Linked DNA regions of Diceros bicornis minor. Each later gene encodes a partner of the first gene's protein in a complex. Links are inferred from orthologs where the notes say so. Each region holds a gene or a part of one and is shown on either strand. Other genes may lie near its edges. The genes, in order: RUVBL1, POLR2E and MORF4L2.

Evidence for each region.
Region 2: RUVBL1 (region 1) and POLR2E share a complex: the UniProt entries of both Homo sapiens proteins name them as parts of the PAQosome complex. The link is inferred for Diceros bicornis minor from reciprocal best matches to the Homo sapiens genes RUVBL1 and POLR2E.
Region 3: RUVBL1 (region 1) and MORF4L2 share a complex: the UniProt entries of both Homo sapiens proteins name them as parts of the nuA4 histone acetyltransferase complex. The link is inferred for Diceros bicornis minor from reciprocal best matches to the Homo sapiens genes RUVBL1 and MORF4L2.

Annotation. Positions count from the first base shown.
Region 1 is NC_080741.1:92,873,404-92,877,151, forward strand, and holds the start of RUVBL1 (ruvB-like 1), read right to left. Parts: upstream 2,633-3,748; 5' UTR 2,556-2,632; coding exon 2,415-2,555; intron 1-2,414. UniProt on the Homo sapiens protein: Possesses single-stranded DNA-stimulated ATPase and ATP-dependent DNA helicase (3' to 5') activity; hexamerization is thought to be critical for ATP hydrolysis and adjacent subunits in the ring-like structure contribute to the ATPase activity.
Region 2 is NW_026691553.1:615,420-619,167, forward strand, and holds the start of POLR2E (DNA-directed RNA polymerases I, II, and III subunit RPABC1), read right to left. Parts: upstream 2,973-3,748; 5' UTR 2,922-2,972; coding exon 2,865-2,921; intron 1,091-2,864; coding exon 916-1,090; intron 1-915. UniProt on the Homo sapiens protein: DNA-dependent RNA polymerase catalyzes the transcription of DNA into RNA using the four ribonucleoside triphosphates as substrates.
Region 3 is NC_080781.1:96,707,662-96,711,409, forward strand, and holds the start of MORF4L2 (mortality factor 4-like protein 2), read right to left. Parts: upstream 2,856-3,748; 5' UTR 2,763-2,855; intron 1,371-2,762; 5' UTR 1,281-1,370; intron 1-1,280. UniProt on the Homo sapiens protein: Component of the NuA4 histone acetyltransferase complex which is involved in transcriptional activation of select genes principally by acetylation of nucleosomal histone H4 and H2A.

The DNA.
Region 1 (3,748 bases):
AGGAAGACCGGCCCTGAGCTAACATCTATTGCCAATCCTCTTTTTTATCCCTTTTTCTCCCCAAAGCCCCAGTAGATAGTTGTATGTCATAGCTGCACATCCTTCTAGTTGCTGTATGTGGGACACGGCCTCAGCATGGCGGGACAAGCGGTGCGTCGGTGCGCGCCCAGGATCCGAACCCAAGCGGCCAGTAGCAGAGCGCGCGCACTTAACCGCTAAGCCACGGGGCCAGCCCCGGCTATGTATTCTTATTCACACACTTGCACCTCTTCCATTTAATCTCCCTCAGTTTAGGCTCCTTCTCTCTAGAGAGATATGTTCAGTGAATTCTAAAATTTAAAAATTATGAACTGAAAGGGCCTTTAAAAGATCACCTAGTCTCTCATTTTTCACACGAGGATATTAAGCACCAGGGAGGCTGCTGATGTGACCAAAGTTATACAAGGACCCAGTAGCTGAGGTGGGATGCCTATTAATTCAATAAATAAATACCAAGCCTCGGTAATGAGTCAGGTTCTGAGTATATAATAACATTACCTGGTCTGTATCCTCAGGAAGCTCATATTCATACAGAGGCAGATAGCATCAGTTAAGAGCATGGATTCTGGAGTCAGATAGACTTGGGTTTAAATCCTTACTCCACCAATTACCAGCTGAGTGACCTGTGACCTACCTACCTAACCTCTGTGAACCACAATTTCCTTATCTGAAAACAGAGTTCCTAATATAGTTAGTGGCACAAATGCCAAGGAGTTTATGGGTAAAGTGTACTAACGTCTGCAACTTGCTTTGAAGAGCAGAAGTGGATTGGTGGATGGATAAATGAGCAGCACCATGGAAAAATGGTGGATGGATATAATAAAGCAATTGAGTAAAATGTTAATTGTAGAATTTAGATACACAGGTAATCACCATATAAGTCTTGAAATTTCAACTATTTTGTATGTCTGAAAAGTGTCATAAGAAAGTGGCGAAGGGACGATTATTAGGGTGGAGGTGAAAAGCAAGACAATGGAGATAAAGCTGCTTAGCACAATGCTTGGCACAAAGCAAGCATTCAACCAGTGTTAGCTATTTGCAGTTAACAGGTCCTCAGTAAGTGGAAGATGGATAAAAAGACATTTCAAAGTCACCCTGACTCTGTCAATATTTCCTTTTTGGAAAGATCATGTTCAAAATGGAAAACAGAGGCTTTTCTTTGGCCCTTTGTATTAGCACAATTAGGCTAGGAGGCAATAGTCTTAACCTCATTATTACTTAATAATGGTTCCTGTGGGTGCTAAGCCATGTCAGAGGCAAGGGGCATGGGTCTGACAGTGCTCAGCAAGCTGAGAGGGTGGCTATAACTATCACAGAGAGAGCACTGATTTGGGAGGCAGAAACACACACGGGTACAAAGCCCAGCATTACCATTACTAAAGTGAGTGGCAAGTGGGTATGTGAAGTGACCTCTCCCACCCTCATTTATTTCATCTGCAAAAAAATACAAAAAGCTTGAATAGTTTTGTGATTATAATGTAGGCGAAAAGGGCCAGCCCCATGGCTTAGCTGTTAAGTGCGCGCCTCCGCTGCTGGGGGCCTAGGGTTCGGATCCCGGTGCGCATCGACACACCGCTTCTCCGGCCATGCTCCGGCCATGCTGAGGCGGTGTCCCACATACAGCAACTCAGAAGGAAGTGCAGCTATGACGTACAACTATCTACTGGGGCCTTGGGGGAAAAAATAAAAATAATAATAATAATGTAGGCGAAAGGACCTGGCATCACTGCCACTTAATAAAACTGGATTTATTTGGTATGAGCCAAAAGAATGCTAGGGGTGTGGGTACAGCAGATTGCTCCTCTCTATAACTCCCACTTCCCTCCTTCAGCTCCCAAGCCGTGGGAACCTAAGTAAGCTTTTTCAGGTTGATCACTTCTCTACTTTAAAACCACCACAGCCTCCCAGTGCGTTCACAAAAATCCAAATTCCTTATCACGGCCGACAAAACCCTGCAGGAACTGACCCCCACCAAAGTATAATAATTATTTTGTTTACTGGCTTAACCGTTTACCGCCTGTCTCTCATCACACTAAAATGTAAGCTCCATGAGAGCCGGGACCTCATCCGTCTTCTTCCCCGCTGTATGCCAGCGTCGCGCGGAGATGGCGGCACGGAGTGGGGGGCTCAATCAAGACCCGTCAATGAGGTGAAGCAACCAGTCAACCGCCCCGCGGGACGTCACTTGTTCTCCTGCGCCCGCCCCTCTCCCAGTGCCAATGCGGCGCCCCCCTGCCGTCCCCCGTAGCCCATTTTCACCGCCCTGATAGAAAACCTCGGCGGGGCATCCCCGCGCCCCTCCCTGCGCCCCCGTCAGCGGCCTCTCGCGGCAGGGCCCTGCTCGGCGCCCCAACTCCCTGGCCGGTCCACCACACCTCGCGCGCGTTCTCCTGGCCCACGAGCCCCGAGGCGGCCTGCTTGGCCAGGCCGCTCTCGTCCAGCCCCAGCCCCTTCACGTGGCTGTGGGACGCGATGCGCTGCGTCTTCGTGGTGCTCTTCACCTCCTCAATTTTCATCTTGCCGATGCCGGAAGCCAAAACCAGCGTGGAAAACCTGGAGCTAGGACCCCACGCTCGGCGCCTGGGTTACCATGCGGCCGTTACTAGGGCGGTTTGTCAAGGCCCGCCTTGGTCGGCACGCCATTGGCGGAAGCGGGAACGCCTCAGCTCCCCATTGGCTCACGGCTGCGCCCATCGCGGCTGCCGGTAGGGCTCCGCCCACCCACTTCCGGCTGTGTGACGGAGTTGGCTTTCCCACAGCCGGCGCTTCCTGCTCTGGCGCGTGGCGCGAGAGCGCAGAGCGGTCGCGCCCGCAGGATGATCAGGGGTTGTGGCGCTGCAGCGAAGTGGGCGCCTGGAGTCCGGCTTTTAATCGTGCCATCCTATCCATTTTTGCATTTGAACGTCATATCCTTCTGCGAAGCTCAAGTTATTACCTCCGTTTTGGAGATAGAGAAACTGAGGTTTAGAGCTTAAGCTTTGACTTTTGCTTACTGAGCTGTTGTCTGACTCCAAGCATTTGCAACTCCCTGCGGAGGCCCAGCTCGGCCAACTGCTCTCACCCTGGCTCCGCTCAGCGTCCGCTGCGGAACTTTGCTTCTGCCTCCGCCCTCTCCCTTTATTTAAGTTCGCTGTGAATAACATTTTAGTTTCCAAAACTCTTCAACCCTGTAAGGTAGTATAATTCCTAATATATATAAAGACGCAGGCTAAAAGAGGCCCAATAACCGGCGAAGAAGGTACAGCAAATAATCAGTAGAATTGGAACTCCAGCTGAGGATTTAAGGCTTCACAGCCTGGATAATCCTCATCCCATGCTCCGACCTCAGGTGAGACAATCAGCCTGCAAATGTGTCCCCTCAGGTTCCATAATGATGTTAACGCTGCCTGCACCACAGTGTCCTCTTCCCATCCATCTCGTCATTCAACAAACATGTGTTAGCACCTGCTGTGAGCCACACTACAACGCGCTGGGGATACGGAGATATAATACAAAATCTCCAGCCTTGACAAGCTTAGTCCTTAGTTGGGAAACTTGCAACATGAGATGTGTGGGAGCAGGTACACCCACGTGGTGTACAAGCCCAGAGCAGGGCCACCCTGAACAGCCTGGGGAGCCAGGGAAGGCATCATGAGGTTTGGCCTGGGCCAAACCCTGATGAATGGGTAAGACTTCCTCAGAAGCAGATAGTATGCCACCATTTTACAGA
Region 2 (3,748 bases), on another chromosome or scaffold:
AAGTCCCAGCCCGCAGTGTTTCGTTGGCGCGGCCCCAGCTAAGCAACACAGGTGGGAGCCTCAACTCTGCCCCGAGGCACGTCCGAGAGAAGCAGGACGCCCCCAACGTCACCAAAGACCAGGAAGTAGAGAGAGACCCCCAACTCCAGGGCAGCCCGGCCCCCAGGCAGGGTCTGGGGAGGCGGGTGATCAGGCCTCACTGTCCCCAGTAAACACGTCTCCACACGGGGGACACCGTTCTTAGCGCCACCTGGGTCTGTTCTGCAAACATTTTCTGCCCACTCCCTTGACTCCAGCGCCCCCAAGGTGCTCACGCCCCAGCGTGGCCCAACTCTGGCAGGCTTCAGAGCCAGGCTGCCTGAGTGCAGCAGGCGCAGAGACAGGAACGCGGGGGTCCTGGGACACCCCTCGGGGGGCTCTTCACTCAGCCCGGGCTCAGAGAGGGTCCTGGAGGAGACGGCACCTGAGCTGGGTCTCTAGGGACGATGATGGACACCGACCAGGCAGGGCGAAGAGGAACGGTGTGGTGAGGGGGATCGGCAGGGACAAGGGCAGGAAGGAGCCTCAGGGAGCAGCAGGCGGGGCTGACGGGGTGGGGGCAGAGGACACGGGTGGATCTGAGGTCAGGAGGGGCCGGGGGCCCAGCTAAAGGCCTGTGATAATCCTGGGCAGAGAAAACAGCCAAGGAGAAGAGAACAAGGAAGGGGACCAAGGAGACCGAAGCTAGACAAGGCACTGAGAGGGTTCAGAGATCAACGGCACCACCCTCCCAATAAGGAGGGCGAGGGGGATTTTCTTCCCAGAAAGACAAGGCCCAGTGTGGACTCTGGGCCACACAGCAGGCCCTCAGATGGCTCCACCAGAACCATGACCCCTCGCGGACACACGGCTGCCAGGGACCGGCAAAGCCCTCACCTGGGAAGAAGACGAACATCTGGTCGGTGGGGTCGTCATTGTGGGCCACCAGCACGGTGAGGTCCGTGCGCCGCGGCCGCCCTTCACTCGGCTTGTCCCCGAACTGGGCCTTGAACTCCTCCAGCGTCTGGTCCAGCTCGTCCTGGGTCACCAGGTAGCCACGGTCGTGGCACAGCTGCAGACAGAAAGAGTCAAGTGACCCCAGGGCAGAGAAGGCATAACAGAAAGAGGTGGGGCCGGACGAGGCCGCTGCAGAGGGCGCCGTGGGCAGTGTGGGGCCTGGTGCAGTGGGTGTGCGTAGAGGCCAGAAAAGGGAGAAGGGACGAGTGGAGACAAAGACCACGGGGCACTTGAGAGCCCCGAGCTGCTCCAGGTAATCGTGTGCGTCATCGTCTTATCCCCAGCCTCGGGGAGAGGCCCTGAGTGGGAAGCAGCGGCAGAGTTGGGCCCTGGGGTCTGGGGCAGATGGAGACAGCTGGGTGAGAGGGGCGTTGCTGGGCTGGCCAGGCAACTCCAGCTCAGAAACTGGGTGAAGGCCTGAGCGTGTGGGCTCTTTGACTGGGGTCAACTAGAAGAGGACAAAGATGGATAACAGGAAAGTCAGAGCTTCCCACCCCATCTCCTCCGTGAAGTCCCCACAGCCCGATTCTGCCTCCTGAGCCCTCATGTCTGCTCTCTCAGGGTCCCCAACGCTGTCAGCCTGAAGCACAGTTGTTTCAGCCCCTGTCTCTGGGGTCACTTTGCAAAGCAGTAGAGAAGCTGGGCGGTCTTGGTCAAGGCCATGCCCCACCGGGCCTCTGAGGGTCACACTGGTCCCTTCCCACAGGACGGCTTAAAGCAAGTGACAAACAGTGACTGCTCAACCAGCTGGCTAGTGTCACTCCACTCCGACCAGCCCCAGGAAGTCCAAGTTGGTGGCCGAGGCGCAAAAGCAGCCACCAAACCGAGAGATCAGAGACGGACATCCTCGCAGGACGGCACCTCAGGCCAGCTGACCAGAGTATCTTCCCAGCCCACGATTCTGGCATTCTGAGCTAGGCACGCGGGGTGGTGCTCCGCCTTCCAAAAACATCAATAAGCGGGACACCCAGTGTCTGCCGTTCCCCCTCTCCAACTCGAGGGAGATCTCGGCCCGGAGAGACAGCAAAAGTCTCCGCAGACCGCGCCCCCGGGGCCGCTCGGACTCTCGACTCGGCCGCTGGCCCCTGTGGGGTCGTCCCGTCCCCGCAGACCCCGGCCACCGGGCCGCTGGCCGCTATGGGGTCCCCCCATCCCCGCAGACCCCGCCCCCGGGGCCGCTCGGACTCTCGACTCGGCCGCTGGCCCGTGTGGGGTCATCCAGTCCCCGCAGACCCCGGCCACCGGGCCGCTGGCCGCTATGGGGTCCCCCCATCCCCGCAGACCCCGCCCCCGGGGCCGCTCGGACTCTCGACTCGGCCGCTGGCCCGTGTGGGGTCATCCAGTCCCCGCAGACCCCGGCCACCGGGCCGCTGGCCGCTATGGGGTCCCCCCATTCCCGCAGACCCCGCCCCCGGGGCCGTTCGGACTCTCGACTCGGCCGCTGGCCCGTGTGGGGTCATCCAGTCCCCGCAGACCCCGGCCACCGGGCCGCTGGCCGCTATGGGGTCCCCCCATCCCCGCAGACCCCGCCCCCGGGGCCGCTCGGACTCTCGACTCGGCTGCTGGCCCCTGTGGGGTCCCCCGGCCCCCGCAGGCCCCTGCCCCCGGAGTCCCTTCGTCCCCACAGACCCCGCCCGCTGCAGCCTCGGGGGCCCCGCCTGCCGACCCCTCGGCTCCAGCCGCTCGGGCGGGCGTGGGGGAGGCTCGTCCCCGCTCCGGGCCGTGCGCTCGCCGCCCGCCCCCCGGACCGCCGCGCGCCCGGCTCGCCCGGACCAGCGAGGCCCGCCCTCCCCGCGTCCGCCAAGCGGGGCGCCGCACGCGCCGCTCACCTGCATGATGGTCTTGCGGATCTTCCACAGCCGGTACGTCTCCTCCTCGTCGTCCATGGCCGCCGCCGCTCGCACTCACTGCGCGTGCGCTTGACGGGACCCGCGCCCACTGCGCCTGCGCCGAGCCCCGGTCAGGGCCCCCTCATCCGCCCCGTGCAGGGCTGTCGCCAGCGGACGCCTCACTACAGCGACCTTCGGGACCGGCAGCGCCAAGGGCAGCCCGAGCCTTCCGCGAGCGGCCGTTGGCTGCGCGAGAGGCGTGCGCAGGGCTCCTCCCACCAGCACCTCGGAAGTTCTCGCGTAGCTCTGACCGCAAAGCCTCTCGGGAGTTGTAGTTTCCGTTCGACGCCCGCTTGGGGCGGCGGTTTAGAATCTCAACAGGCAGAAACGAGGTGTGCGCGGGGAAACTGAGGCCTGCAGGGGGGCAGGGGTCTGCTTGCCTCCTAGGGACAGTCGGGCGGCCTAGGAAGAGCTCTATAAATATTTATGCATCCAACTGTAGGGCCGTCTCTCAGTTGGCTCTGGCCCACGTGCAACTTAACGCCCCCTAGCCTCAGTTTTCCCGTCTGTACAATGGAAATAATAAAGTGCCCATTGTAGAGGGTTAGCAGAGAATCGGAAGGGATGGTTGTGTTTGGGAGGAGCTTGGCATAGCTCCTGGTGCTTATGAAGTGCTCCCATCTCGGTCTTCCCCTGTCCTGTCCCCAAGCCCCGGGTCTCAGATATCCCACAGTGCCCTACTCCTGACTGTGCCTGTCTCATAATAAATAAGTGACAAAGTATGTTAGAAGGTGACAATGCTGCAGAAGAAGAGAGAGAGCAGGCTACGGGAGCTGGGAGGTTTGCAGTCTGCAGAGGGATGGTCAGGGGAGGGGAGGAGGAGA
Region 3 (3,748 bases), on another chromosome or scaffold:
TTGCCTTCTCTGAGCTCCTATTGGCCCAACAGTCCACCTCCCTTCCTTTAGCCCTTAAATCATTCTCCAAATGGTCTCCTGTAAAGGGATTTTGTGCCTACCCATCTACTGCATCTTTTCCACCAGGGCAGTGCCCTCCTCTGCAACCTAGCTTTCAGAAGGGAGAAAAATAAGAAAAATATAGTGACTCCATGGGAAAATGAAGCTGTCAAGAGAGTGAAAACATTCCTTCATCTCCTCATGCAAGTGATGGACCATTCAGGAATGCAGACTCCAAATGCTAACACCTTTGTGTATGGGTGTTACAAATGAGTGTGAACAACATCTACAGTTTGTTGGAATAAACCTTTAAATGCACATACACCCTGTTAGTTACATTTACATCAATTCTCTCTCTTTTCGATCTTGGAACACTTCCTTTATGTTTAACAGACATTTTTGAGTCCGAGACAAAGAAGGAATGATATAAAAGCTGTTAGCAGACTGAATATGGTTATTATTTGCTAGTTAAAATTATAGCTCCTGGAAATTCCCTTATAAATAAATATGATCAATATACTCAAAATCTTTCTAGATTGTTAGGACAAGCCAGAAGTCATAATTTCAGAATTCAGTTCTAGTGGTAACTGCTGCTTCTGGAAAATCAGGAGAGAAACCAAAAGTATTATTATTTTTTTACAATTCCAAAAAGAAGTATCCACTGCTTTTAGAAGTGTAAGTGTGCATGTGTGTGTAAAACAGGATGTACCAGAAAGACTAATAGAGCCATAATTATTATTAAAGCAAACACAGTGCCAAGCACTGTCCTGGTACTTTACATATAATCCCCTTAACAATCCTATGAAGTAGGAACTATTATTATCTTTATTTTATATACCAGGAAATTCAGGGACAAAGTGTGTAAGCATCTTGCCCAGGATCACATAAGAAGTGGCAGAGCCAGGATTTAAATTCGGTAAGTCAGCATTTGCTCTTAACCACTAAATTATGCTGCATGTGAGATGCCACAAAGTGAGAAAAACACTATATGAATGTATGTAACTAACTATAGGGGATCAATTGCAGTATCTTTTATCAAGGAATTAAAAATTACACAACCCTCTGTTGTTCAGGCGCTTTCTATACTGGAAGCACCAATGGACTTAGCTCCATCCTCCCCTTAGAATTTAGAGTGCTTTCCCGGATAGGCGCTTATTTATCTTCAAAATATTTCTGGATAGTTAGGAATGTTGTGTGAAATTATCTTGTTTGAGAACTGAGGCCAGAAGGGAGGCACTTACCCAAGTTTCTGTAATCAGGGACGGTTCTGCAATCAGGATCAGATCTTCTGATCCCTACTATATAGCAAACTTAGCTTTTCTGATGATAGCCTAGAAGGTCAAACAAGGGGACAGGACAGGACATAAAATAAAAAGACATGAGATGATGGTTTTCTCTTCTATCAGTCAATACATTTTATCACACACAAAGGACAACAGAGCTGATAAATAATGTACAAGTGTTTCTTTTTCCTTTCTTGGGGTTATATTTTCAAATTTTTCGTACATTCATCCTGATTTTTGACAAAGTAATTTGTTTTTGCCTTTTTTTTACTTTTTATTGAGAATAACTTCAAATGGATAGAAATGTAAAGGGAATATTACAAACCTACCCAAATTTATCATCCAGCTTCAACAATTACCAACTGAAGGCCATTTTGTTTCATCTATAACCCCACCCACCGCTCCCCCCAACTCCGATTTTTTTTAAGTTCACTGAATAGCTGACTTTCTGTATTTTATTATGGAAAATTTCAAACACATACCAATAAAAACAGAATATAAGGAACCCCACATGCCCATCACTCAGCTTAAACGATTACTAACTTAGGGCCAATTTTGTTCCATCTATACCCCTCCCCACTTCCCCCTACCGCTGAGATTATTTTGAAGCAAATTCTAGTCATCAACGTATTTTGAAACCAATTCCAGATATTTTATGACTTAATCCGTAAATATTTTCATACATATTTCTACAAGATAAAGACTATTTGAAAACATAACCACAATATCATTATAACGTCTAAAAAATCGACATCAATTCCTTAAAAAAACATCAAATATCGAATCCGTCTTCAAATTTCCCCGACGCATCCTAAGCAGTTTTTTTTTTCCCACAGCTGGTGTGCTCGAATAAGGATCCAAACAAGGCCTACTTATTGCATGTGGTTCATCTCCAGCTCGCTCTCGTTCTCCATCTCTTTCTCCCCCTCCTCCTTTTTTTAAACTTTTCAATATGGAAAATTCCAATCCTCGCTATTTGAGGTAATTCCCAATTAGCAAATTATTTCATGAGTAAAGATTTATATGTCTCTCTTATATCTCTAATTTCTTCTAAAGAAGAAGTTGATGGGCAGGAAAAGCACTATAATGAACGAATTCACATAATTTATGTTTTTCCTCATTCTGTTACGCGGGTTTTTCTCTCCACAATCATGGTTAATATCTTTCGGAGCCAGGCTTCGTATTAAGTGCCTTATATACACGCATATACAGTACACGCCTCTGAGACACAGGTCTCTGAGGTAGATACTATTATTGTCACCATTTTACAAACATGGAAACCGAGACACAGAAAGAACAGGAGCCAGCCTAAGCTGGGCGTTGGCGAGTAGGAATTTGAATCCAGCTCTGCTCGATTGTGAAGCCATTAGTTAACCTTGTCTATATACACGACGATAAGAGGAAATCGTCAACCCTTTCTCCCCACCCCCACCCCGAAACCTGAAACGAGAATCCAGTTCTTTCCAGCAGCCGACGTGTGATCACTGCCGTCCCTCCAACCGCCATAGTAAAGCCAGGTTTCTCTGGCAACTGATATCCATAGGCAGACACGTCACCCTGGAGGCGGGCTTATGCCCTTCAGCCAATAACAATCGTCTCGTCTAAGTTTTAGAATGTTCCATTATCAAATGATTGGACGAGGCCCACCACGTCAGCAATGACACTCCGCCGCAGTAAAGGCAGGCGCTAGCAACCTGCTTCTTCACGGTTAAGGCTTAGGGCAAGCCAATCATCTTCCTCCTTTAGTGCGGGCTCTGGCCAATGACGTTCGCCCCCTTAGGTTCTGAGCCCGCCCTCCAAAAGCGCGACAGTCGTTGGGTCATAAGTCTATAGGGCAGGGTGTTCACGTGGCCTATTTTCACGACCCAGAGTTCCGCTTTGACCAGAGGTTTATTTTTTTTTTTATTTTTTTTTTCCTGCACGGAGGCATTATGGGTTTTTTTTTTTCCCCACTGGGAAAGGAAGTGTCTACGTGGCCTGCGGAAACGGGATGGGCGGAAATGAGCTAAGGTTCCCGCGAGTGGGGAAGCGCGAGGTCAAACGTGGGGCCACGCCCCCGAGCCTCGCGCAACTCTTGGAGGAAAAAAAAGGAAGAATGGGGGTTTTGACATGTGTATGAGTCGGGGTGGTGGGTGCTGCGGCCGCGTGGTGTGGGGGCTAGTGTATAGGTGCGCGGGCGAGCTTGCATGGCCTTGCGGTTGGAGTGTGTGCGCGCGCCAGTCCTCGTGGCGCTGCAGGTGGTGGGTGTGCGCAGGCGTGCGCCTCTAACGTTGGGCCCGGCGTGTGTCCGGCAGCTAGGGTATGCGTGCCTCAGTGCGTACGTGTGCGCGCGCTCTATATAGATGGCTCTATACTTTTGCATATGTTTGAAAATTGTTCTAATGAAAAGGAAAATAAAGTCAAGGCGACCGTAACAGAAATAAAGG